Danio rerio: one gene and its partners. The main gene of each other region encodes a partner of the protein of the gene in region 2 in a complex. Links are inferred from orthologs where the notes say so. Each region holds a gene or a part of one and is shown on either strand. Other genes may lie near its edges.

Evidence for each region.
Region 1: the proteins of pcna (region 2) and pold4 are in contact, whole or in part, in a crystal structure (PDB 6HVO), measured with the Homo sapiens proteins. The link is inferred for Danio rerio from reciprocal best matches to the Homo sapiens genes PCNA and POLD4. Residues at the interface, in NP_002583.1 of Homo sapiens: Met40, Ser43, His44, Val45, Ser46, Leu47, Val123, Glu124, Gln125, Leu126, Gly127, Ile128, Pro129, Gln131, Tyr133, Asp232, Val233, Pro234, Tyr250, Leu251, Ala252, Pro253, Lys254, Ile255; in NP_066996.3 of Homo sapiens: Lys4, Arg5, Leu6, Ile7, Thr8, Ser10, Tyr11, Pro12, Val13, Val14, Lys15.
Region 3: the proteins of pcna (region 2) and cdkn1a are in contact, whole or in part, in a crystal structure (PDB 1AXC), measured with the Homo sapiens proteins. The link is inferred for Danio rerio from reciprocal best matches to the Homo sapiens genes PCNA and CDKN1A. Residues at the interface, in NP_002583.1 of Homo sapiens: Cys27, Asp29, Met40, Ser43, His44, Val45, Ser46, Leu47, Ala67, Met68, Gly69, Ala96, Asp97, Leu118, Met119, Asp120, Leu121, Asp122, Val123, Glu124, Gln125, Leu126, Gly127, Ile128, Pro129, Gln131, Tyr133, Ala208, Asp232, Val233; in NP_000380.1 of Homo sapiens: Arg143, Gln144, Thr145, Ser146, Met147, Thr148, Phe150, Tyr151, His152, Ser153, Lys154, Arg155, Arg156, Leu157, Ile158, Phe159, Ser160.
Region 4: the proteins of pcna (region 2) and dtl are in contact, whole or in part, in a crystal structure (PDB 6QC0), measured with the Homo sapiens proteins. The link is inferred for Danio rerio from reciprocal best matches to the Homo sapiens genes PCNA and DTL. Residues at the interface, in NP_002583.1 of Homo sapiens: Met40, Ser43, His44, Val45, Ser46, Leu47, Glu124, Gln125, Leu126, Gly127, Ile128, Pro129, Ala208, Tyr211, Asp232, Val233, Pro234, Tyr250, Leu251, Ala252, Pro253, Lys254, Ile255, Glu256; in NP_057532.4 of Homo sapiens: Ser705, Met706, Arg707, Lys708, Ile709, Cys710, Tyr712, Phe713, His714, Arg715.
Region 5: the proteins of pcna (region 2) and lig1 are in contact, whole or in part, in a cryo-EM structure (PDB 8B8T), measured with the Homo sapiens proteins. The link is inferred for Danio rerio from reciprocal best matches to the Homo sapiens genes PCNA and LIG1. Residues at the interface, in NP_002583.1 of Homo sapiens: Met40, Ser43, His44, Val45, Leu47, Leu126, Gly155, Arg210, Ala252, Pro253, Lys254, Ile255; in NP_000225.1 of Homo sapiens: Ala361, Gly363, Arg364, Ser368, Ser388, Thr389, Gln390, Arg391, Leu392, Met393, Leu394, Val432.
Region 6: the proteins of pcna (region 2) and fbxo18 are in contact, whole or in part, in a crystal structure (PDB 8F5Q), measured with the Homo sapiens proteins. The link is inferred for Danio rerio from reciprocal best matches to the Homo sapiens genes PCNA and FBH1. Residues at the interface, in NP_002583.1 of Homo sapiens: Met40, Ser43, His44, Val45, Ser46, Leu47, Leu126, Gly127, Ile128, Pro129, Ala208, Asp232, Val233, Pro234, Tyr250, Leu251, Ala252, Pro253, Lys254, Ile255; in NP_835363.1 of Homo sapiens: Ser56, Gln57, Arg58, Cys59, Ile60, Pro61, Phe63, Phe64.
Region 7: the proteins of pcna (region 2) and zgc:110269 are in contact, whole or in part, in a crystal structure (PDB 1UL1), measured with the Homo sapiens proteins. The link is inferred for Danio rerio from reciprocal best matches to the Homo sapiens genes PCNA and FEN1. Residues at the interface, in NP_002583.1 of Homo sapiens: Cys27, Asp29, Met40, His44, Val45, Ser46, Leu47, Ala67, Met68, Gly69, Asn95, Ala96, Asp97, Leu118, Met119, Asp120, Leu121, Asp122, Val123, Glu124, Gln125, Leu126, Gly127, Ile128, Pro129, Glu130, Gln131, Glu132, Glu201, Pro202; in NP_004102.1 of Homo sapiens: Arg19, Phe27, Gly28, Arg29, Lys30, Lys80, Val167, Lys168, Ala169, Gly170, Pro188, His208, Ser210, Arg211, Leu296, Lys297, Trp298, Ser299, Glu300, Arg332, Ser335, Thr336, Gln337, Gly338, Arg339, Leu340, Asp341, Phe343, Phe344, Lys345.

What each region holds. Positions count from the first base shown.
Region 1 is NC_133176.1:47,967,895-47,972,071, forward strand, and holds the start of pold4 (DNA polymerase delta subunit 4), read right to left. Parts: upstream 2,801-4,177; 5' UTR 2,675-2,800; coding exon 2,650-2,674; intron 1,728-2,649; coding exon 1,626-1,727; intron 1,485-1,625; coding exon 1,395-1,484; intron 1-1,394. Other genes in the region: ssrp1b (FACT complex subunit SSRP1), read left to right, coding at 3,311-3,364, 3,451-3,636, 3,734-3,839. UniProt on the Homo sapiens protein: As a component of the tetrameric DNA polymerase delta complex (Pol-delta4), plays a role in high fidelity genome replication and repair.
Region 2 is NC_133185.1:46,058,752-46,062,912, forward strand, and holds the start of pcna (proliferating cell nuclear antigen), read right to left. Parts: upstream 2,801-4,161; 5' UTR 2,539-2,800; coding exon 2,318-2,538; exon of another isoform or gene 2,265-2,317; coding exon of another isoform or gene 2,233-2,264; exon of another isoform or gene 2,043-2,232; intron 1,839-2,042; coding exon 1,741-1,838; intron 1,319-1,740; coding exon 1,251-1,318; intron 744-1,250; coding exon 549-743; intron 1-548. Other genes in the region: E3 ubiquitin-protein ligase TRIM69, read left to right, coding at 2,233-2,264. UniProt on the Homo sapiens protein: Auxiliary protein of DNA polymerase delta and epsilon, is involved in the control of eukaryotic DNA replication by increasing the polymerase's processibility during elongation of the leading strand.
Region 3 is NC_133197.1:620,015-622,947, forward strand, and holds the end of cdkn1a (cyclin-dependent kinase inhibitor 1), read right to left. Parts: coding exon 2,612-2,933; intron 2,061-2,611; coding exon 2,005-2,060; 3' UTR 501-2,004; downstream 1-500. UniProt on the Homo sapiens protein: Plays an important role in controlling cell cycle progression and DNA damage-induced G2 arrest. Involved in p53/TP53 mediated inhibition of cellular proliferation in response to DNA damage.
Region 4 is NC_133195.1:14,376,522-14,380,743, forward strand, and holds the start of dtl (denticleless protein homolog), read left to right. Parts: upstream 1-1,422; 5' UTR 1,423-1,446; coding exon 1,447-1,501; intron 1,502-1,577; coding exon 1,578-1,703; intron 1,704-1,800; coding exon 1,801-1,893; intron 1,894-4,139; coding exon 4,140-4,201; intron 4,202-4,222. Other genes in the region: ints7 (integrator complex subunit 7), read right to left, coding at 1-8. UniProt on the Homo sapiens protein: Substrate-specific adapter of a DCX (DDB1-CUL4-X-box) E3 ubiquitin-protein ligase complex required for cell cycle control, DNA damage response and translesion DNA synthesis.
Region 5 is NC_133177.1:47,496,315-47,499,814, forward strand, and holds part of lig1 (DNA ligase 1), read right to left. Parts: intron 3,263-3,500; coding exon 3,085-3,262; intron 2,993-3,084; coding exon 2,797-2,992; intron 1,582-2,796; coding exon 1,450-1,581; intron 1,360-1,449; coding exon 865-1,359; intron 698-864; coding exon 592-697; intron 492-591; coding exon 396-491; intron 1-395.
Region 6 is NC_133179.1:10,423,508-10,427,007, reverse strand, and holds part of fbxo18 (F-box DNA helicase 1), read left to right. Parts: intron 1-435; coding exon 436-568; intron 569-664; coding exon 665-855; intron 856-1,055; coding exon 1,056-1,127; intron 1,128-2,852; coding exon 2,853-2,935; intron 2,936-3,036; coding exon 3,037-3,205; intron 3,206-3,500. UniProt on the Homo sapiens protein: 3'-5' DNA helicase and substrate-recognition component of the SCF(FBH1) E3 ubiquitin ligase complex that plays a key role in response to stalled/damaged replication forks.
Region 7 is NC_133177.1:18,824,143-18,827,316, forward strand, and holds the end of zgc:110269 (probable flap endonuclease 1 homolog), read left to right. Parts: exon of another isoform or gene 1-359; intron 360-1,852; coding exon 1,853-1,998; intron 1,999-2,097; coding exon 2,098-2,239; intron 2,240-2,321; coding exon 2,322-2,378; 3' UTR 2,379-2,674; downstream 2,675-3,174. UniProt on the Homo sapiens protein: Structure-specific nuclease with 5'-flap endonuclease and 5'-3' exonuclease activities involved in DNA replication and repair.

The DNA of each region.
Region 1 (4,177 bases), on a different chromosome or scaffold from region 2:
AACCAAAAGAAACATCAGAGAACACAACAGGTCTGTCCTTAAAGGGATAGTTCACCTCTCAAAAAAATTCTGTAATCGTTTGCTCACCTTTATGTAGTTTTAAACCTTCATACCTTTTTTTCTGTTGGACACAAAAGTAGTTATTTTGTCCAACAATGTTGAAACCTGGTAACCACTGGCTCCCATAGTATGGGGAAAAATACAATGGAAGTCAATGGTTACCTGTTTTCAACATTCTTCAAAAAATCTTCTTTTATGTTTAACAGCAGACTGAAACTGAATCAGGTTTTGAACAAGAGAAGTATGAGTAAAACATTAAAGAATTGTCATTACTGGATGAAATATCCCTTTAAGGGTTAATCAATAGTTATTATCATTTATTCATTCATTCATTCATTCATTTTCTTTTCAGCTTAGTCCCTTTATTAATCTGGGGTCACCACATCAGAATGGATCGCCAACTTATCCAGCATATGTTTTATACAGTGGATACCCTTCCAGCAGCAACCAATCACTGGGAAGCACCCATACACTCCAATTCACTACGGACAATTTAACTTACCCAATTCACCTATAGCGCATGTCTTTGGGCTTGTAAGGGAAACTAGAGAGCCTGGAGGAAACCCATGGCAACACGGGGAGAACATGCCAATTTTTCCCTTACTGAACAGATTCTGGACAAACAGAACTGGAAGGCTGAGCTTAGAGCAGGCCTTTTCTGCCAGATATCGAACTTGCCATCTTTGACTTCTCACAAATCACATCTTCTCTCTCTCAAACAATGCAAAAGTCTTTAATGCAAGGCATGATGGTGGCTAAACAAATATAGTGTAATAAATTTGAAATCACCTTTACGCCTCTCATTGCAGAACTGGATTTCTGATATCATGTCTGTTATTCAGATGGAGAGACTCAGATTTTTAAGGACTAGCTTCATCAGAAAATATTTGGCTACTTGGAGTCAATTTCTTGATTTATTTGACAAATCAATATCTAAAAAGCAATCTACTGACCACTCTGAGGTTTAAGTTATATAACCCCTCTTGTTTTGATGTATGTTTTGTGATGTTGTGTGTGTGTTTTTTGTCTCCTTTCTTTTTAGTTTTATTTTATACTGTCTTTTGTATTTCTAAAGTATGAGCCAATGTTTGCTCTTATAATGTATATATATATATATATATATATATATATATATATATATATATATATATATATATATTTAAAGCTTAAAATCTTGTAATAAAAAAAAAACATGCAAATTCCACACAGAAATGACAACAGGCCAAGCCAAGGCTCGAATCAGTGACCTTCTTGCTGTGAAGCGACAGCGCTACCCACTGCGCAACCATGCTGCCGTTATTATAATCAATGTAAAATCAAAAACAGACGTTTACCTGTGCATGGTCCAAACTTCCAATCCAGATCAAAGTTCTTCAGCTCCTGTATATCTTTTTCTCTTTCACTCAGTTGTGGGGGTTCAGGCTCTGAGCAGTAATAACAGGTTATAAATGCATTACATGGTTGCATGTGCCTCTAAAGCATTTGCACACTTTAGGACCATAGTGATATGGAATGATTTCTGCTTAAAGATGCATGTTAACACACAGAACAAAATACTATCTGACCTGCTTTCGGTGGTGAAGGAGACTTGCTTCTCTTGCCTCCTCTCCTTGCCTTCTTCACAACCTTAAAGGTGTCGGTGATGAGGCCACGCTTTGGTGTCATATCTGAAATAAAGCAAACAATGAGCAATACATATGCTACAGTATGTATGTAACTTCAATCAATGAACTATCGATAAATGGTAATGCATTAAAATGAATATATACTTTGAAAGTGTTTTCAGTTATACAATAATTAAAGAGATAGTTCACACAGAATGAAAATTCCTAAACTTTTGTTCTGTTGCACACAAAAGAAGATATTCTGAAGAATGTTGGAAAAATTATCAAAAACAAGTCATAGGCTGTTTTTTATTTCAACATTCTTCAGATTATCTTGTTTTTGTTTAACAGAAGAACGAATCTCAAACAAGTTTGGAACAAGTGAAGGATGAGTAAATGATGACAGAATTTTCTTTTTTTGGGGTGAACTATCCCCTTTAAGAGTCTTTGTTCCAGTGTTTTTACACACACACACACACACACACACAAAAAAAAAACTATATTTAACTTATTATAATAGTATATGTTTAAGAAAAGGGGTTGGTATCAGTTTATCATGCGTAATTATAAATAATTCACTGTTATTACTTTAGTAAGTACAAGGCACATGTAAACAACAGTTTCAGTATTTTCATTGTTAGTACATGTTAACTAACGTGTTAGCTTCCTAGTTTAAACGTGATGTAGCATAATAAGATATATCAACAAGTTAAATCGAGGTAAATACATAATGTTGTAACGTCAATAATGTTGTAAATACTCTGGCTGTGAGAGCACAAAGAGCAGGACATGCAAATACTATCTTACTAGATGCTTTCGGTCTAAAACATAAAATAAGCAATGCATTCTGTGTAGCATTTCATTTTAATTTCTAAATAAATTGCATTAAAATCACCAGTAAAGGCGATCTTTATTTATTGATCCATCGAACAACAGTGCTTGAAACACTACTGTCAAAAAAGTATATCTGAAATATATTGCATACCTGGACGCTGATAGGATATCGTCATATGATAAATTATTTGTAAATGTTGACAGCAGCAGTCTTCATCAATAAAGCCTTTTAACTTTCCCTTTGTGTTTCGATCGTTTACAAAACAGACTGACGTTCGATAGGCAGGGCTGAGCCACGCACACTGCGCGATTGCGTCATGACGAAGGCGTTCCTGCGCGCCGCACATCTACGCTCACGGGACTCGGCCTTGATCCTCTCGCCGAATAACAGTAATACTCATTCAAATTTCTCGCATATTTCATAACATATGCAACAAAAGCGTTCGAAATGTACTAAGCCTGCTGTAAATTTGCTGTAAATTTGCAAACGTGTCGTTCGTCACAAAAGCCGCTGTTTGATGCCTGAACGCCAGCTTTGCTAGCTTTATTTGTTTATTATTAGACATCATCTCGCTGTGCAGCCACAAAATAATAACACTCGCAAAAGCTTTTCTTAAAGCACAAAGCTAGATTTTTACATCCAAAACAACCTATAATAAAAGTCTACTGTTGACACCAGAGTAAACTGGGAGTTTTCTATCATTCATAACACATTCATATTGCCATTTGCAGTGGAAATTGTATAATGTATAATGTATATTAATAACTGTCGCAGCTTTTAAACGTCACAGGTCCATTCTGTCTACTCTGACATGAGTGACACTTTGGAGTTCAATGAAATTTATCAGGAGGTCAAGGGCTCATGGGTGAGTTAAAAAAGGTTTTGTTCTCTAACTTGAGGTGTTTTTCTATCAAACTCTCAATAAAGTTGACCGACTGTCTTTTCTTGTAGAATGACGGCCGCCTGCGCTTCAGTAAGCAGACAGTGGTGTATAAAAACAGTAAGACCGGGAAGGTGGACACTATTCCGGTCCCTGAACTCACTCAGGCCCAGTGGAGGAGAGTCTGTCTGGGTCACGGCATCAAACTATGGACCAGCACTGGCCACATCTACAAATATGATGGCTTTAAAGACGCAGTGAGTCTGAGATGCAAATTACAGATCAATTGATCACTCAGTTTGATCCGCTGTTTCATTCCAGGTCTTAAATTTTCATCCGTTTCTTTTTGCGCAGGACCTTGAGAAGATCTCAGAATACTTCAAAGACAACTACAAAGTGGAGCTAACAGAGAAAGACATGTGTGTTAAGGGCTGGAATTGGGGCACTGCTAAATTTAATGGTCAGTGCATTCCTGTTGCAACGCTTTTTGTCTGAGATATTCAGTTAAAGTCAGAATTATTAGCCATTCTGAATTATTAGCCCCCCTGTTTATTTTTTCCCCCAATTTCTGTTTAACAGAGAGATTTTCTCAACACATTTCTAAACATAATAGTTTTAATAACTCATTTCTAATAACTGATTTATTTTATCTTTACCATGATGCCAGTAAATAATATTTAACTAGATATTTGTAAGACACTTCTATACAGCTTAAAGTGACATTTAAAGGCTTAACTAGGTCAATTAGGTTAACTAGGCAGGTTAGGGTAATTAGGCAAGTTATTGTATAGTGATGGT
Region 2 (4,161 bases):
TCTGATAAAATCCCAGATAATTATTAAATCACTTATAACCTACTCTTTTAGGGTAGCTTTTTAGATTTATTATTATTGTAAGCGTTTGATTATATTCATTGCATTTTTTTTGCATTCATCCTGTATGCATCTTTAACAGCTGCACATTATGTCTGTAAAGTGCCCCGAGATGCTACTTTTAAAGGTGCTAAATGAAAATAAAGCTGCTTATTATATAAATCTGATCAATCAGATGGGGCCTTTACTACCTTTAGCCCCGCCTCCTAAGTAGTTGCTGTTCTGCTATTGGCTGGATTGGCTTAAAGGTGAAATCAGAGCTAAAAAATGATTCTCACTAATAGTGCTTTAAAGACTAAAGGTTTGCATCTTGACAGTTTTAAGTCTGAATTAGATCTGGAAAATATATTTTACTTGTTTATTGCAAAATCATGAAATAATTTTTTTAAAACAGCTAATTAAATTGACTTTTTCAGAGAAATGTTTGATTATAGAATATATATTGCATATTTTTCCCAGTATCGTGCAGCCTTAAATGAATAGTATGTTACCGCTTCATCCTCCTTGTCGACGTTGCTGGTCTGTGAGAGCTTGATGTTGCCTGTGCCCAGCTCTCCGCTGGCAGAGAACTTCACGCCATCCTTGGCACACGAGATCATGACAGCATCACCAATCTGTGACAGATCCCTGCAGATGCGGGCAAACTCACCCGACGGCATCTTCACCACACAACTGTATTCCTGCTCCTGAGGGGAAGAGAATAAAGCATGATCATTGCAGACAAACATCCACGATCATATCAGAAATAAACAGGAATCAAGAGAGGGAAACTCAATAAACTTTAAGACCTCATCGCCATTTTAGGTTTTAACTTAACATTGGTGACAATTCAACTTGTAGTATATTTACTAAATACTGATTGTAAGAAACGAATCCTAAACTAAATCGGTCATGTACTGAATAAAAATGCTAATCCCAACAGATGGCACCTATAGAACAGCAGGAAACATAGGCTTGCCTTTATTACTGCAGTAGACAAAGCAGTGTGATGCCAAATCTAGCAGGATTTTATCAATTTCATAAACCACACAGATTAAATTTAGGCAAACTTTAGCACACAACTACACATTATATAATCATAAAATGACCAAAACAATTATATCTTGTAAAACAACAGTTAAGGCTGTTTAATACCAAATTGATTTATCAACTTTTAATGACCCTGCAGACACCCTGTTATAATAAAGTCTTACTGGAATGCCAAGCTGCTCCACATCCAGATCCATCAGTTTCATCTCATAGTCGGACACTTTCTCTTGATCTGAAATGAGATGTAAATATTAGTATGGATTATTAGCTCTCCAGCAAAACTTAACTTTTGGTTTCATAGTAATAGTTGATAACATGGTGAAGAAAATCCATACTAGAAGCATTTTTTTTATGTGATGTTATTAACCACAAAATGGCTCCAGTATCTATGCGAATTTCATTCTTACATTTTTGGAGAAAATTATTATTAGAAAATTATTTTTAAATATTAAGTATTAATTATTTAGCTTAACTTTAATGATTCATTTTAAACCAAAGCCCATGTTTTTAACAGGTATTGCTGATAAATCGATATTAAAATACTGCAAATATAAATTTAGCAACATAAAATAAATTCATAATAAAAAAAAGTTTTTTTTAATTGTACACTATCAAAAGTATTGCTATTCCTAGTTTAAAAAGAAGTTAACTTACTGAGCGTTTCAAAGACCAGTGCCAAGGCGTCAGCATTGTCTTCAGCTCTGAGTGTGATGATGTCTTCATTTCCAGCACACTTCAGAATCTTCGACATGCTAGGAAACAGATGAATAATAATCAAAACACGTTCACTTCAGGTAGAAAAACACCATATTGATCGTAAAATGGTTTACCATTTACATTCGAAACAGTCATGGCATACACAAAAAGTGTCTAAGCAGGTTTTCTTTGTCTAACACCAGAGCCATGTTGTCATTCAGCAACCCGGCATTTTCTTTCCCGCCAACAAGCTTAAGCGCGCGCAAGTGACGTCACGATCAGTAGAGCGTGGGACGAATGCAGGAAACTGCGCGCCAAATTAAACTGATAGCCTATTTAAAACACAACCGTAAAACGGCATACTTTAATAACAACTACTGTAAATAAAATACTTTTGTCACTTTATAGTCTAAAAATGGCGCGCTGCTGTGTAGAGGCGCAGCCCCGGGCATGCGCAGACATGTTCAAACTTCACTCACCAAGTAAATACGAGTCAAATAACACAAAAGGCGCTTGATTTAGTCAGTGATTTTACCTGCTCAGATTGACCCCCATGGCTAGGTTTCTGTCGCAGCGGTAGGAGTCGAACCCGTCACTCCGGAGCGTCAGCTGCACCAGAGACACATGAGAGGAGTCCATACTCTGCAGAGAAATGCCCGACGAGCTCACATCCCAGCAAGCCTCGGTGATCAGGTCTTTCAGAGCCTCCAGGACCTTCTTAAGGATAGATCCCTGAACCAGACGTGCCTCAAACATTGTGCTGCTTTCTTAGTTTAGAGTAGGAGGAACTAAAGTTATCTAATCCTGTTACGACACAAGCTGCGGCCTGGTTAACTGCTTGTTTTCCAGCACAGGAAAGCAGAATCCTAAACTATCCTAGAGTTTAGCAGGTACTAATGCAGAGGAGGCACGGTGCAGATGTGCTGTCCACTGTTCTGGCGAGGCTCTGAATGTAACTGCGCGCGCTTTCGCCGGGATTTTGTTAAACTGACCCACTGTTGCCTTCGTCATTTCCGCTGACGTTTGACTCCTCCTGGAACGCAGACAGAACTGCGGACACTGACCAAAAGAGGGCGCAATTTGGTCAGAAGGTATGAGTTATTCACAACATTTATGAATACCCATTACAGTGCGTTTTAATAACCTTTACCCCCACCCAAACCCTAAACTGACCCGTCACTGTGGTGTAAAATATTATATATTGTCGTACAGTGTGAAAAATGATGCTATGTCAACGTGCGCATGCCCAAGTATCCACAACTGTATCCCTTTTTTTGTTTCTTTGACAAATTACTGTGCTGTTGCTAGAAGGGATACAGCTACGGTCGGCAGTTAACGAGAATTATTTATAAAATTTATAAATACCCATTACAGTGCGTTTTAATAACGTATACCCCCTAACCAAACCCTAAATTGACCAGTCACAGTAACGTAAATTATTAATTATTGTTGTGCAGTTTACCAAAGATCAGACTATGTTGATGTGCGCATGCCCAAGTATACGCACCTGTATCCCTTTTTTGTTTCTGTGACAAATTACTGTGCTGTTGCTAGAAGGGATACAGCTACGGTCAGCAGTTAACGAGAATTATTTATAAAAATTATAAATACCCATTACAGTGCGTTTTAATAACGTATACCCCTAACCAAACCCTAAATCGACAAGTCACAGTAACGTAAAATATTAATTATTGTTGTGCAGTGTACCAACGATTGATGTTGATGTGCGCATGCCCAAGTATCCGCAACTTTTTGTGTAACACATGTTTTGTTGCTAAAGGATATAGCTGCGGTCTTCAGTTAACAATAACTACTTATAATATTTATGAATACCCATTATAATGCTTTTTAATAACGTCTACCTTACCCAAATCCTAAATCGACCCATCACAGTAACGTAAAATACTGTTGTGTCACAAAAATCATGCTATGTTGATGTGCGCATGATCAAGTATCCCACAACTGTATCCCTTCTTTTGTTTGTGTAACACATTTATGTATGTATATATATATATATATATATATATATATATATATATATATATATACATACATACATACATACATATATGTGTTACACAAACAAAAGAAGGGATACAGTTGGGGATACTTGAGCATATATATATATATATATATATATATATATATATATATATATATATATATATATATATATGTATGTATGTGTGTGTGTGTGTGTGTGTGTATGTATATATATATGTATATATCTATGGTGTAACTGCAGGTGCGGTCTTCAGTTAAGGATAATTATTTATAATATTTATGAATAACCATTATTATGCGTTTTAATAACGTCTACCTTACCCAAATCCTAAATCGACCCATCACAGTAACGTAAAATACGAAATATTGTCACAA
Region 3 (2,933 bases), on a different chromosome or scaffold from region 2:
TTGTTTCTTCGAATTCCAATTTTTTTCGTTTGCATCTTGGAATTCATACTTTTTTCTTGGAATGCTTAGTTTACATGTTGAAATACGGTTTTATTTTTTTGCTTGGAATTCAAAGTTTGCATCTTGTAATACTGCTTTTTTTTTAGTTCTGATGTTATGTTTAAAATTTACAATTCTGGCATCTTTGCTTGGAATTCCCAGTTTGCATCTTGAAATACTGACTTTTTTCTTGGTATTATCAATTCACTCTTCAAAATTCCAACTTTTTATTCCTTTGAATTCTGAGTTGGAATACTGACTTTTTTTTCTTGGATTTGTAAATCCACACCTGATAATTCTGACAAAATCTGGGTTTTCATCTCACAATATATATTTTTTTGTTTGTAATTTTTACTTCTCCTAATTCTAACTTTCATTCTTCAAAATCTAAATTTACATCTCACAATTCTGAACTGTTTCCTAAAGGAATTCTGACAATTAAAAAAGTAACAAGAAACCAATTTTATATCATAAACAGCTTTATTACAAGAACAATTACATGTAAATCTACAATACAATATTAATCTGTAAAATAAATACAGCATATATTTTGAGCTCTTTAACAATAACAGACCTGTGCAAGCTACACTACTCCAAAAAATAAAAACAAAACAAAAGAAACCCCAAGTGCAATTCTCAATCGACGGCGAATTATCCAATAAACAGGATATTTACAGACGGGTCGCAGAAAACAAGCAGAGTTCTAGAGCTGGTAAAGAGCTGAATGCTAAACTTCAGAAAGCCGACAGAGCTGAGATCTTGATTAGGAAACACATGAAAGCTGGTGTTCGTACTTCTTATGAAGTTTATTTTAATGTATTTGTAGAGCGTTTGTAAATATGATGTAGTGTCAGCGTTCATGGAGCAAGAGCAGAACACACTTCTGCGCAAATTCGTTACGAAAAATGCTGTGTTTTAACAGTCTTTTGTGGTCTAATCTGATCTATGTTGTATTAAAATTGAAATGCGTAAAATTGCGTCAATTCTAATTCTCGAATTGACGTTTCACGCAATTAGATTTTCACGCTAAACCTAATGCAACAAAATAATTTCACGAATAAATTGCGCAAATAATTATTTAATTCTTTGTAAAAAAAATGTGCATGTTAATTTTCAGTTTTTTTTATTTCTTATTTTTTAACTTTTTTTATTGTCATTGCAATATTTCTTATATATTTGGTAGAATAAGTTTGTTGCTATAATTATTCTTAAAGCATTTCTATACTAATTCTGTACAAATTTAACAAAAAAAAATGTTTTCCAAAAGATTTGCATAATTCTTACAACATTTTGTGCACGTAAACTTTAAGCCTACATTTATTTCAACACAAAAACTGCATAAAAAAAATTGTGCAAAAATGTTTTCGTTAAAATAAACGCAAGAATGAATTTGTTCTCTCAGTTCTATCTGCTCGTGTTTCATGAACGTCGCCAAGTGTTTTTTTTTTAAACAAAGTTTAATGTAGTAGAAAAACGTAATTGCAGCTCAATTACGATAAAGATGTGAGAACTTACTGGCAGCTTCATGAAGGTTTATGTGTAAAATAACATAAAGGGTTAGAATTATAAATAGAAGAAGAGGAAAAAACAACATTTGGCACCAAATGTTTAGAGTTTTAAAACATTAGCTACGTTTTGTGCAATAAGGCAATGTGAATATGTGCACGCTGAAATAAAAATCAGCGCTTTATATTGTTCGTAATGAAACAGTTGTCATGATTCTGTGGTCCCGTCGAGAGACAATCTCTGGAAGACTGAGGAATGGATCTTTCCAGAACATTTCCACTTGTAAATGTTAACCGTTGACATAAAACGGTTGAAATAAAAACGGAATAAACGGTGTCGTCTCTGGTTCCTGAAGGTCGTTTTCTGTCAATAACGCTGCTACGAGACGAATGCAGCTCCAGACAGATGAAGGTAGATGCAGGTCAAGAGTTTATCTGTGTGTGTGTGTGTCTCCTTCAGCTACTGGCCGGATTTGCGCGGCGTGGCCACTAGACGCTTCTTGGCTTGGTAGAAATCTGAGAACAGAGAGACGATATTATTTGTTTATTATTAGTCGAACTCACGCTTTAAATTTACATCAGAATACAAGCAGTTTAATATTACTACAATAATACTACACTCAGTGGTTCATTATTATAACAAAAAAATTAATTCTAAATTTGTATTAATGTAAAAATATCTATCAATATGCGATTATGTATATAATTCAAATATGCGATAATGTAAATCAATCTGTGTCGTGTTTGTTAGCTGAAGTTTTTGGTTGATTAAAGTACAATATAAAATAAATACGCAATTTAAAAAATGCATTAAAATATAAATATTAGATGAAAAATTTAAAAACAGAAACTTAAAACTTTACATCTAAAAATTCAACACTTTTAATAGGGTATTATAGAAAAATGCATAAAAGCAGATCATCAGAGAGTTGCATTATAGAAACACTACGACATTTATTTATTTATCTTTCTTTAATTTTTGTTATTTAAAAAAATAATCAACAAACAAACATAGCTATATACATAAATAATAACAATACTAAATAATAATAATAAAGAGGTCTGACCTGTGATGTTGGTCTGTTTGCGCTTCAGCTCGCTGCTCTTCTCTGGGGTTTTCTCCACTTCATGCGGGAGTGCAGCACATCGTTCTGGTGTTTTCGGGATGTTTTCCTTTCCAGCGGCGGACTGTCCGGGCTGATGAGCCTCACAGGGCCGTTTCTGCTGCTTTTCCTGACACGCGCGGTACAGTAGTGGCACGCGCACGCCGGACACGCCCTCCCAGTGGAAGTCTCCGCCCTCTAGTGGTTTCTCAGACGCAAAGTCGAAGCTCCAGCGTCGCGATGCGTCCTCCAGATCGCGCCGTAGCGCCGCCCGGTACTCACGCTG
Region 4 (4,222 bases), on a different chromosome or scaffold from region 2:
AGCGACATTGTTTATTATTAGACTGCAAAAAATGTAACCCGATAGACTGCTCTCGGATTTAACACTTTATTTGTTTTATCAGATGGAGATTTTGTGCATTAAGTTTGAAGTGTGACCCGGTTGTAAAGCAGGTCACGTGACGCACAACGCCAGTTTCGTCGTCGGGTTTCCGTTGCGCTACAAGGAACGCTAGAAGCGAAAGCGACCCAAAGAGGTGACCAAAGAAGGCGGGGCTTATGAGTCGGCATTTACCCTGATTAGTCTAAACCTCTGCTCAGCTTTTAGGCTCTTCATGCTATCATAATTTTTATTTAATCATTTGCAAAATTATATATATATATATATATATATATATATATATATATATATATATATATATATATATATATATATATATATATATATATATATATATATATATATATATATATATATATATATATATATATATATATATATATATATATATATATATATATATATTATTGCTTGCTATCAGAACAAAATCCAAAGGATCCCAGAGATCACTTTAAAATGATCAATAGTATACACAGTCATAAAAATTATCACAAACACATACAAATAACATATCATTAGACTGAAAGGGAAAATATTAATAATTATAATATTAATAATAATAAAATTATGATAATAACAAAATTACTAAATTAAACAAACTAAATTAAACAAATGAATGAAATTACAATGACACTTAAACAAATAACCAAAAGGAAAGCAACTAAACTTAAGCATCTCCTACATCTGTATAATATTTCAGGAATTTTAGGGTTTTTTATTCTTAATAAGATTAAGTTTTTGTGTTTCTGTGGCGTTTACATGTTCTTCCAGTGTTTGCGTGGGTTAAAAAAATATATGCTGTAGGTGAACTGGGTAGGCTAAATTTTGTGTGTGTGTGTGTGTGTGTGTGTGTGTGTGTGTGTGTGTGTGTGTGTGTGTGTGTGTGTGTGTGTGTGTTTGTGTGTGTGTGTGAATGAGTGTGTATGGATGTTTACCACTTATGGGTTGCAGCTGGAAGGGCATCCGCTGCGTAAAACCATATTCCGCAGTGGCAACTCCAAAACAATAAAGGTACTAAGCCAAAAAGGAAATAAATGAAATAATGAATATATATATATATATATATATATATATATATATATATATATATATATATATATATATATATATATATATATATATATATATATATATATATATATATATATTGTTAATGTTAATGTTAACCCGGATTTTTTTGGGGCCACATGGCGCCTCTAGTGTTCGCAGCCATTCCACTCCGCTCGCAGTGGCTTAACACTTCCTGTTTCCTGACGTGTCGACCAATTAGAACACTGTTCGTCCATCTCGCGGGGAATTCGTCTTCAGCGCTTTTTCATTGTTCGCGGGAAACTTACCACTTCTGAACGCGACTTGCATCCTGCAGCGATGACTCTTTTTCACCATGTTGTTGATCGAGGGGCTAAAAAAAGAGGACGAAATGGTGAGTTTGCTGAATATACGTTAACCTAAACCAGCGTTATTACACTATTTACACTGAAATACTTTGTAATAATCAGGTGAGCAGCGGCTGTTTCCTCTGTCGTCTCTGCTGGACGGCTATGAATGCGCTCGGCGGGATGAACACATCTCTTATGGAGCCTCCGCTGCTGCCGTGCCGCCATTCGGATGCACATTTTCCTCCGGTAAACATTTATTTCTGCATTCACAATGAGTTCGAAGTCAGTAGTACAGAATTGTGCAAAGACATTATGTTTGTGCTGGTTTGTTTTCTATGTTTAGCTCATGGACAACAAAACTGTCTTGCTGTAGCCAACGAAGAAGGGTTTGTGACCATCTTCAACACTGGAGAAAAACAAAGCTCTGTTCTGAAAGGTTGGCTTCAAGTTTACCTGGAAATATTTTAAAGGTTTAAACTAGTTCGCTTTTGGAAAACCCTATTTCCTATTGGCGTCAAATATAAAATGGGTTGACCGAAATCTCAACAAAAAGTGCAATAAAGCTTTGTGTTTCCCCTGTTAGGAAAATAAAATAGAAAAACATTTTTTTTTGTCATACTGTCATAATTTTTTAAAATCTTGTTTCGGAAATGTCATTCATTGTAACCACACCAAAAAAGTTAATAACTATTTCTTAGCCACATATTTTAAACAATGTGTCAAAAATGGGAATAAATCTAGAATTTAAGTGTTTTACAAATGTTAATAAATATATAATATGCAAAAATCAAAGTGTTATGCAAACAAAAATGGCAGTATGGAAAATGTGCAGGTATTTTATTGCAAATCAAAATGTGGCTGACCTGCCAAACCGACAGCAAACTGGGCAACACATCACTTGTTTTTTTTGTACCCACATAAATGTAGGTTTCCAAGAGGTTAGAAACATGTTTTCGTTTAGCCTCATAATTTGATGTTGCTATCTTGTTACCAGGTTATGGAAAAAAAGTATGTGCTCAGAACGTCTAATCACTTAAAAGGAACATGTAACATGGTGTTTATGACATCACAGAAGAGGTAACATTAAAAGGCTTAAAAGCAGAAACTTGATTCTTAGGCTGCCTTTGCATGCAATTGACAAATGGTCTCAGCCAAATTAAACCTTAGTGACATGAAAGCCCGATCGGGCAAGTTATGATCCTGTCTACTGTTCTGAATGTCTCTTATACTGACCAGGGCCATCTGGCAGTCCTTATTGTTAAGCCCTGAAATATTTATTTTTGGTAAAGTTGATTTTTCTATTCAGAGTTTATCCTGCTTAACCTAAATTCAAAATAAAAATTATTTGCAATCAATTCTAAATAAGGAAATGATATTAGCAGCCAATGAGCCAATTTTGAGTTCTTAAGTCTGAATTGGGAGATATTGCCTCACAATATTCACAAATAAAGTTAGAATTCTGAGAAAATGTTGCAATTACCTTTTTTAAAAATATTTTTTTATCAGTAGCAGGAACATGCTTCCTCAGATTTCAGATGATCACTTTTTTTTTTAAATTAATGGTTGCATTTTAGCTGACTACAGTTGTACAGCACACATCACTTGCATCACATTATATATTCAAATGAATTTTTTTATTCAATCATATCTTTAAATATATGATTAACATTCTGATTGAAAGTGCTAATTTGTAGACAGTTCCTTACATAAATGATGACGTTACAACCTTCCATAGCTATTGACCTTATTCTAAAATGCGGAAGTGCGCCTGTTTTCACGATTGTCTTAGAACTTTCGATTCAGTCGCCTATGGGAGAAATGACTAGGAATAATAAACGGCAGAAAACGGTCAAACTACTTGCTCTAAAAACAAATGTTTGCATGACTATACAGACCAAGTAGAATAATATAATAAGAAAATATCAAATTGCAACATCAAGCAGCGTAATAAGCAGTTTTTAACGTCAAAAAATGAATGGAAGTGAATGAGACCAGAAGTTTCAAGCCAAAAATATTCAAATGGCAGCGCCCGCTCATCGACGGAGAATAAGTTGAATAAGCGTATTTAAGTTGTACAGTTACATACGTATAATGCATTGTTCATAATAGTACATCATGATAATCCATATTAGCCCTTTTAAATTCTGTCAGATTGTGTGAATATAAAAGAAAGGTTAAGTAGGATAACGTTTTCTATTCTCTGAATAGAATAAGAGCAGAATAAGTATGTTTAATTTTTACACTCACACATATCTATATCTGTTTATGCATGCTGAATGAAGACGGAACATTATTTCACCTATATTTGACAATAATAATAATAATAATAATACATTATATTGCGCTTTTTTCAGCCCCAAAGCGCTAACAGGCATACAAGGCAAACAAAGCAGAACAATAAAAACAGTCAAAAAATAAAATAAAAAGACTGCAATAAAATATGAATGGCTCACTACAATAGGATTATAAAATAACAAAAATAATCTAGGTTAAAAGCAACGGTAAAAAGGTGACTCTTAAGAAGTTTCTTAAAACAATCCAGTGAAACGGCAATATCACAAGGTTATTTTAAATATTATAGTAGAAACTTCTTTTTGCATTGACAGTGATTTATACATGCACAAAATCACTTTTGTTAATTAAATTTTGGTGTTTCATTGATGTAAAACGTGTGTTTTCCAGAATGGCAGGCACATGATAATGCAGTTTTTGATATTGCCTGGGTTCCTGGAACCAATTGCTTAGTAAGTGTTGAATGATTTTTT
Region 5 (3,500 bases), on a different chromosome or scaffold from region 2:
AGAGAACGTCACATGAAAAAATTAACTGCGCAATTGTATTTAAAATTTACCCAATATTATCACCTCAAACATATTCAAGTAGATCGATTTTTGCTAAACAAATTAATTTCCATGACTTTTTAAAAATATTTTGGGTTGATTTTTTCCAAAACATCTTCAGGCCTGGAAAATGCATTGTCAAAATTCCATGACATTTCCAGGTTTTCCAGGACTGTATAAACCTTTGTGGATATTACAGATTATTCTGTTACAGAACAAAACCTGAAAATATCTTCAGCTTGTGTTAAGCACAGACCAAAAACAAACTCTGACTATAGGGATGATTGAAGAAGTTCTGTGAAAAATCTGAAATCGTAGGACTCTCTGTTTCATAAATAACGAAAGGCATGCTTTACTTTTGACCCTTCTTCCAGCAGGCGTGGTCAATGGGATGATAATGTGCTCTAGAAGGATCATATTGGCTCTGGACTGCAGAATCCACTCCCTTTTCACTGTTGGAAAAAATATATATTTAAAAACCTAAAGAAACTTCCAAAATGAACAATAATTACCAAATATTATTAAAGTCATTAAGGCATTTTAAATTGTAACCTTTTCTTCTCTTTCTGTTCCACCACATCAGAGGTCTCTCCATCTTTCTTTTTCTCTCCTTCATTTCGCTCTTCTTTTTCCAGTTTAACTGCAGCCTTTCTGGGTGCTACAAAAGATTAAAAGCTAAATAACGGTTCAGCTGAAAACTCAATTGTATAGCTTCTCACCCTTGTGCTGTAAAAATCATACAGGTTTGGGATGTTGTGAAGGTAAATAAGTCATTTATTTTGAGTGGTTAACAAAAAAAAAGAAGAAAACAATAAAAAGGCTCACCAAAAAAGCTGCTGATGGGTTTCTTTTTGGCAGATCCTCCGTCTGTGTCCTTCTCTTTTTTCACCACTTTTTCAGGACTGCTGCTTTCTTTTCCTTTCTTGTCCGGTATTTTCTCCTTTTCATTCTCACCATTTACTTTTTCCTCAGTTTTATCCTTTTCCTCCTGCTTTTTGTCACTTTTATCTTTTTCCTCCTGCTTTTTGTCACTTTTATCCTTTTCTTTTGTCTCCTTTTTTGTTTCTTTCTTTTCCTGCTGCTTATTGATCTTTTTATCCTTTTCTTTCGTCTCCTTTTCTGTATCTATCTTCTCCTCTTGCTTACTCTCATTTTTATCCTTCTCTTTTGCCTCGTTGTTTGTATTTATCTTCTGCTTCTTGTCATCTTCATCTTTCATCTCGCTGTCCACAACTACACTAGTTTTCGCCTTGTCCTCTTTCTCCTCAACTGCAGTCTTTTCATCAGCACTCGTCTCGTCCACCTCCATCATCTCATTCTCTGAATTGAAAAAAAGAAAGAGAAAAGAATTAGAAATGAACTGAGATCAAGGAGAAACTACACCAGTGAATAAATATCAACTCATTTAACCTGTCTGTTCTGGTGAAGAGTCGACTCGTGCTCTCTTACTCTCCTGTCCTCCATCGACCTCCTTCTCTTCCTCTTTTAGTTCTTCTCCATCACTCCTGCTTTCCAGCTTCCTCTTAGGGAACTGCTTACGAGCTATTAAAAAAAAGAGAGGTTGAAAGCCTGCTTCATCAAATATATTAAACAGGTAGGAACTGAAGAAAAACCTACTGCACACAATCAACTACATCATGACTGATCCTTATGGATTTAGTTTATTATTGAAAGTTTTTTTTCTCTGAACGACCAATAAAAGCCAAATTAATCAAATATAATAAACTCATAAGCTGATTTTTAACCCTTCTGTCAAAATAAACAGTAACTATTTCAACAGCAGAAAAACAGCCCTAAATTATCTATTTATTCTGAAGTTTGTAGCCTTTTTTTTAATTACCCCAACATTAGAAATAAATATACCAATGTTCTATTTTCATGAAGGCTGTACACATATAGGGTGCAACAACCCAATATATTTTAGGGGATAATTTTGACATGATGTTGTGATGCAATGAAAACCATTTTACACAAAAACTAGACACACTGACACACATGCACATCCTAAAATGCAGATTTGCTGCTTTGTTATAAACATATAATCCAATCTCAATCCAACAAAGCACCTTTAGGCTAAGGTGGAACGAGAGATTGGTATCATGGATTTGCAGCCGACAAATCTGCAGCAACTGTGTGAGGCTATCATGTCAATATGGACCAAAATCTGAGGAATATTTCCAGTACCTTGTTGAATCCATGTCATGAAGGATTAAGGCAGTTCTGAAGGCAAAAGGGGGTCCAACCCGGTACTAGTAAGGTGTACCTAATAAAGTGGCCGGTTAGTGTGTATATAATGTTAATATATAACAAACTCAGAACGTGTCTTTTTATAAAAAAATTTTAATGACTATTTTATTTAGTTTTTTTAGGGCAACAGTATCTCCAACAGAAAAGGACCATACATTTGTAATTTTTACTTATATTTTTAGATAATATGTGTAACTGTATTTATTGTAATATTTTTTTTATTCTACTTTTTGTATTAATATTACATGTTAGGCACCTGGGGTCTGAGAGTCAAGCAATTTCAATTCTCTGTATGTCCTTTACATGTGATTGATTGTGTACTGACAATAAAGCTGACTTGACTTATTATTATTATTTAATAATTATTACTTATTATTATTATTATTATTATACCATCAGAATTTTACATTGGCCCATACCTAAATCATAATGCATTTTGCAATATTGAAAAAATACAAATAAATGATTAGCGCAACCACAAAAAAGTGAGAAAAGCAGACTAATACAGACCAGTCTTGCGTTTGGGAATGCCTGACGGTGACACTGATGTTGGAGTTGCTGGAGTTCCAGGAGTCCCAGAGGACGCAGGAGTTACAACAGAAACAGAGGTGCTCGAAGTGACCGGAGTCGTTGGGGTTTTGGGGGATTTTGGAGATACAGGAGTAGAGGAAGCCTTTGTTACCTCAGCCGTCTTAACATCAGAAATCTGAGCATTTGTGGTAGCATGGGACAGAAATAAAGTTAACAACAATACTGACATGCTCTCATGTTTAGTGGTCATGATTATTCACATTTTACCTTCTCTTTCTTTACTGTTTGAACTTCACTCTGTTTTGGCTCCTGCTCCTTGACCATTGGCTGATCTCCATCTTCTTCATCGCTGTCTAGGATTGCTCGACTGCGTTTATGAACCTTCTTTATTGGCGAATCACTTTCCTGCACGCCATTCTGAATTTTAAGAGGACTTTTTACTGGTCTGAGTAAAAGACGACAACAAAAAACAAAAACATGTAAAAAATCAATTAAATTAATTGAAAGGATAGTTCACCCAAAAATGAAAGTTTACTCACAATTTACTCACCCTCGGTGACAACTTGTGACATGCTCCCTGTATTGTTTACCGTGGTATTTTAAATACTCAGTGTGAAATCACATGCAAGTATGACTTTAAAACAACATTAGCACTATTTATTTGACTTTGAACAATGTTTTAC
Region 6 (3,500 bases), on a different chromosome or scaffold from region 2:
CGCTTGTGGATGTTGAAGAAAGTCAAAATCAGAAAACTATAAAGAGGCATGCAATTACATGCAAAACAAAGCAACGCTAGCAAAATAGTGATAACATTTTAACAGATAAATACTTAAACAGTTAGCAAACAAAATGAAAATACATAGAAAATCATAGAGGAACAAAAACAAGGGAGAGCTTAAATAACTAAATAGGTTTAATTGTGTTATATGCCTTTTCAGTGTGATTTGTGTGATGATGTTTAATGCATTTATGTTATTATTAATATTATTTTGTTTATGTGACGTGATTGTGTTGAATGTAATTATGTTAAATTTTTAATGTAATGATGTTATGGAAGCCAAAAGTTCCACTTGTGGATATTAAAGAAAGTCAAAATCAGAAAAGTATAATGAGAATGCGATGATGTGAATTGTTGCCATTTAATTTCCCAGGTATATGTCAGGGTTCAAACACAGCAAACGGGTGAATGTGGAGGATGTGTTGACATGTATTAAAAGACACCGGCTGTACACTCACGCTGAAGCTTGTATGAAAGATAGACTCCCAGACATGGTGGATGAAGAGGTACAGTAATGTGTACTCAGTGAACAGTATTTGAAACTACGTGAGCCTTTATGTTGCTTTCTATTGTGCAGTTTTGATGTTTGACTTGTATTGCAGGGTCCAAACCCTTGGTCTGCCATGGCACTGTTGTTGATTTTAGCTGACGGAGTGAAAGATATCCTGGACCTGGTAGCTCTTCTGCGGAGATCTGGCTGTCTGCTGACCACAGGGGGGATTTCTGAATACCTGTGGGCAGTGGCGACTTTACTTCTGGCCATGAGAGAGCGGAATATTAACATAAGCAACAGGTAAGAGACCAAGTTTGAAGAGCTTCCTGCAAATGACCCTAACCTCTGCACAGCGTTCCAGAATTTACATTCGACTGCTGAGGAAGTAAACAGTGGTTACTAGGTGATTTTTAACTGAATGCAAGAAAGACAAAAACTTGCTATCAAACGTTTGCATCTAGATATAAATAGCTCTTTACTTTTTGATCTTCTATTTTTAGGTGGCACTACAACATCTTTTATGTCTTGCACTTGATGGAAAATGCATCTCCAACAAGCCTGAAAGACAACAGGTGGGCAGCCATTTCAATATGGTGTTAGTTTTAATTTCAGAATGTTTGGGGGTAGATTTTATAAATGCCTTATTATCTTACATTATTTTGCATCAAATTGAATGATGAAGGCGTTTGTAATGTTACAAAATATTTTTGTTTCAAGAAGATTCTATTGTTTGAACTTCTGTTTATTAAAGTATGCTGGGAAATAATCGTTATGTTTCTAAATGATCACAGGGTGTCCACTGGGACTTAAAAAGCCCTAATGTCTTATTTTAAAACAAAATTTTAGGCCTTAAAAAGTCTTAAATTCACTAAAATATTGTGTTGTTGGTCTTAAATCATTTCAAACTGGTCTTAATTTTGCTATATCCAAGTAAATCTACTCGATCGGACTGACATCCATCCAATGACTAACAAAACTTCTCAAACCCTTTTTTAAATATATATTTTTACAAAGTTATACTATTGACAACAGCTGTTAGACATTTTCACTAAAAATCGCCAAATTAAATTCCCTAATCAGGGAAAGAAAACAAGTATTCCTCATGATAATAACAGGCCATTAGAAAAGTCCTTAATCTCGTATAAGTCTAAAATTTCATTCTTAATGGTCTTAATAGAGTCCTAAAAAGTTCTGCAGAAACCCTGGAACAATAATGTTTGTTTAACACAAATCAACATTTTAGAATGATTTCTAAAGGATCATGTGACTCTGAAGACTGAAATAATGTTGCTGAAAATGTCGTTTCAGTATCAAACAAATAAATAAAATCTTTAAATTATATTCAGTTTAAAAATATATATTTATTTCAAATTGAAATAATGTCACAATATTACTGTTCTATTTTTGGTCAAATGATTAATGATAATATGCATTTATTATTAAAAAATAGTTGTTATTAACCCGACCAATTTAAACCCTTAGCTACTATCCAAATTCTTAGTTAAATAAAAAATGTAAATGTTATATTATTATATTGTATATTTTTGATCAAATAAATAATTATAATATATTATTTTTATAATAAATACAGTTTTAAACCTTAAACTTTTTGACCCCTTAGCTGCCGTCTTAATTTTTGGATAAAAAATGTAAATGTTATATCATTATACTGTATTACAACTGTTATATTTTTGGTCAAATTAATAATGATCTTATGTATTATTTTATTATTATAAAATTAATTGTTACCAATCCCAAACTTTTTAACCCCTTTGTTATGATCCTAATTTTCAACAAGCAATTTTAATAAACAATTAAAAATGTTATATTGTTTTATTGTTGTAGTACTGTTATATTTTTGGTCCAATAAATAATGATAATATATATTTATTATTATTATGAAAAAAAAAGATCAACCCCTACTAATTTAAACCCTAAGCTTATATCCAAATTTTTAGTTAAATAAAAAAATGTAAATGTTATATTTTTATATTGTCATATTACTGTTATATCGTTGGTCAAACAAATAATGATTTGTTAATTATTAAATTTGTTACATTTTTGCTAATTTTTAATTAAACAAACAATTAAAAATGTTATATTACTGTTATATGTTTGGTCCAATAAATAATGATAATGTGTATTTATTATAAACAAATTAAATAGTTATCAACCCCAAATGTTTTTGTAATGCAACTTTATAATTAATTGATATCTTAATTCATCACATGCACATATAATACATCCATATAATTACCTCAGTCATAGTCATCAAACCTAATTATCTTCATTTTTAGGCAGCTTATCACTCACGAACAGCAGCAGATTCTCAACCACGACATCCAGCATCATCACGTTGTCAAAATAATGGCTTTTGCAGGTAAGGAACAATAACTGAAATGATTTTGCCACTAAAAGTAATCCTGTAGTATAGCACCAAATAGTATCCTGGTCTTACAATCCCTTTTTCTGTTGTCGCAGGCACTGGAAAGACAACCACGCTAGTGAAATATGCTCAGCAGAGGCCAGACCTGCGCTTCCTCTATCTGGCCTTTAACAAATCTGTAGCGGTGCAAGCCAATCGGTTATTTCCACACAACGTCGAATGCAGCACCGTCCATTCAATGGCCTACAGATCTGTGGGAGTGAGGTCTGTTTATTGGAGAAACATTTAGCAAACGAGAAACTATTATAAGTAGGGCTGCACAATATATCGTTTCAGCATCCATATCGCAATGTGATCATTTTTATTTTATTCAAATCATTTATTTAACAGGGACAGTACCCTTGACATTATTATACAAAGACAACCAATGCCGCGTACATAGCATAAAACTATTTTGCAGACCTTGTCCCTGGTTAGGCTTTAGGACATAATAAAAATAAATAAAAACCTGCAAATAATAAACATGGTAAACCAACAGTAGTCACAACAGTCATATCGC
Region 7 (3,174 bases), on a different chromosome or scaffold from region 2:
AAAAGCACGCACATCTCTCTTAATTGGGTGCTCAGCCAAAACCGCAAAAAGTGCAAATTAAATGTAAATCAAAGGCGGCAACACCAAGGCTCCAAAAATACAAGTTTATTCAATTAAAAAGGCTGACACAGAGCGTGTAACGTTTCGAGCCGCCGGCTCTTCATCAGACAATGTTTATCACAATCAGGTGCTTCTTTTATACACTTCCGGATCACATGATCTCCTCTCACATATTTGTCAACATATACATACATGCATATGTATACATACACAGTCGTTCATATATACATATACATACACATGAATACGTATACACATTTACATATAGTCTATAGCTTTGATATTATAAATCAAATTACAAAAAAAAAAAATATATATATATATATATATAAATACATAAATAAACTATAATATTGCATCACAAATTATAATACAGAAAAATAAATAAATAAGGGAAAAAAATAAATAAATAAAATATATAATAATAATAATATATATATGATACACCAGACTATACAACAAAATATAGCCAAAAAACCTTTAAACCAAACCCCTATTAAACCTTCATTCATTCATTCATCATTCATTCATTGTCTTTTCGGCTTAATCTCTTTATTAGTCGGGGCTACCACAGCGGAATAAACCGCCAACTCGTCCCACACACTTCCCCGCAGCGGGCGCCCCTCCAGCCGCAACTCATCTCTGGGACACTATTACATAATAAAGACTTATTAAAAAATTATTACAGAAAAGGACGAATGTCAAACTCCTCATTTAAACCTTTTGGAGACAATGCGTCTAAAGTGAAAATCCAGAAAGCTTCGCGTTGCAACAGCAATTTATTAAGATCACCGCCCCGACGTGGACACTTCACAACTTCAATCCCTATATATTGTAGAGTAGAGACGGAATGTCTCATAACTGAAAAATGTTGCGCAACCGGACTTCTGGGATCCTGTTGTCAAATAGCGCATCGATGTTCAGAAATACGAATTTTTAAAGGTCTACTCGTCTTACCTACATAACATAAACCACACGGGCACCGCAGCATATAGATAACGTTCGCTGTTTTACACGAAATAGTGCCTCGAATATTACATTTTTCCGCTGTATGCGGATGTGTGAAAGTAGATGTTTTATATGTAAAATTACACTGTAAACAATTGTCACATTTAAAATTACCCTGTAGTATGGTGTTTTAAAAATGTGGAGTGGGTTTTAGATCAGCTCTTACTAGCATATTTCGGATATTAGATGTTTTTTTGTGTACCAAACGGGGTGACTTATCAAAACACTCTTTGAGGGTGGGATCACTTGAAATATTATGCCAGTGTTTTAACAGCACTTTATTGATGTCTTTAGTCACTTGTGAATATTTCATATAACAAGTAATGCGACGATCATGCTTTTTTGTTACTTTTTTAACTGAGCTTTCTTCTTGTGACATATCTTTGAAGCGATCATGTGAAGACTGTATCCACTCCTTATAAGATCGTTCTCTAAATCGTTCTCTAATATCAAAGCTATAGACTATATGTGAATGTGTATAAGTATTCATGTGTATGTATATGTATATATGAACGACTGTGTATGTATACATATGCATGTATGTATATGTTGACATATATGTGAGAGGAGATCATGTGATCCGGAGTGTATAAAAAGAAGCATCTGATTGTGATAAACATTGTCTGATGAAGAGCCGGCGGCTCGAAACCTTACACGCTCTGTGTCAGCCTTTTTAATTTAATAAATTTGTATTTTTGGAGCCTTGGTGTTGCCGCCTTTGATTTACATTTGTTTTTTTTATACACCAATAATAAACAGCTTCTTTGACTATCATTATATACAGACGCACCCTATCCCTTTAAACTGGCAGTATAAAGATGCCCGCAAGCTGTTTTTCGAAACTCCAAAAATCGACGACCCAGTCCTGGCCTGGAGTGAGCCTGATGAAGAAGGTCTGGTGCAGTTCCTGTGCAAGGAGAAACCTTTAAAGTATGCCTACATATTCTAGTATTATAGAGTGTTTGCCATTAATTGATGTTTTTAGATGTATCTTTCTTTTGGTATGTGAACATATTTACTGTTTTTCAGGGAAGAAAGGGTGCGGGGACGCATGAAGAAGTTTCGCGAGATGCTCCTAAAGAGAAGGAAGCAGAGGGAGGTGAATATGCAAATGGGCCAAACTAGACAATCACGCCTTGAAGATTTTTTCCCTGCCACGAGGAAGAGAAGGGTAAGATTTAACATTAAAGAAGTATTATGAATTTATCCCTTTCTTGAATATTGTATCCAACAATCTTGATCTCCCCCTCTAGGCTGAATCTGCTGCTGTAAAAGAATCAAGTGGGAGAAAACAATTCAAAATTAAATAAGACGGACCTTTTAGATCTTGGATCTTGGATCTCAAAGCATTGATCAAACCATCATGTGGACAGAAGAGTCAAATGTGTGATGACTTGAAGAAGTTTGGACTGCCTTTTTACTGAGTATTTTATTTTGTTCAAATGGCAATGGTAAACCATTGCCAAGAAAACCTATTTTTAATTAATGTTTGTATCATGTACAACAAAGGTGCTAATATTTGAGAGCCTGTAAAATCAATGCTTTAGAAAACATCTTAAATAATGTTTGTAACGACAAAAAAAGTAAACCTCTGTTTATTTCCAAAGATATTCCCTGCCTCATCATTTGCTAATACATTATTATAGTAGCAAACAATATTACTGTGGCTTTTGTTTAAGGAAGCTCCATACATTATTGGCTGTGAACATTGTAAGGCTTGAAGCTTACTACTTGCTATTCTGAACCAATAATCGGAAACAGAAAGCAGTTGAAAGATGGTGTGTTTAAATCCATTATTTATCTGACTCCATTGTAATTAATCTGACTCCATTAAAGATGTTATCATCGTTGATAAAGAGAAAGAATCTCTACGCCTTAAAGCAGGCAAAGTTGTTTATTAAGTTACATGTTTAAATATACACACAGTAGAATGAAACAAACTAGCATACTGTATAAAGAAATTAGCTGTAATATATGCACTGCTGAGCAACAAAGACAGTGAAACTGCCTTTGTTAGCATATGAGGCTACGCACTGGTGTGCGGGAGATGCAGAGTAAAAGCCATTCTCCAAGATCAACAGTTACCTTTCCCTATTATACCCTGAG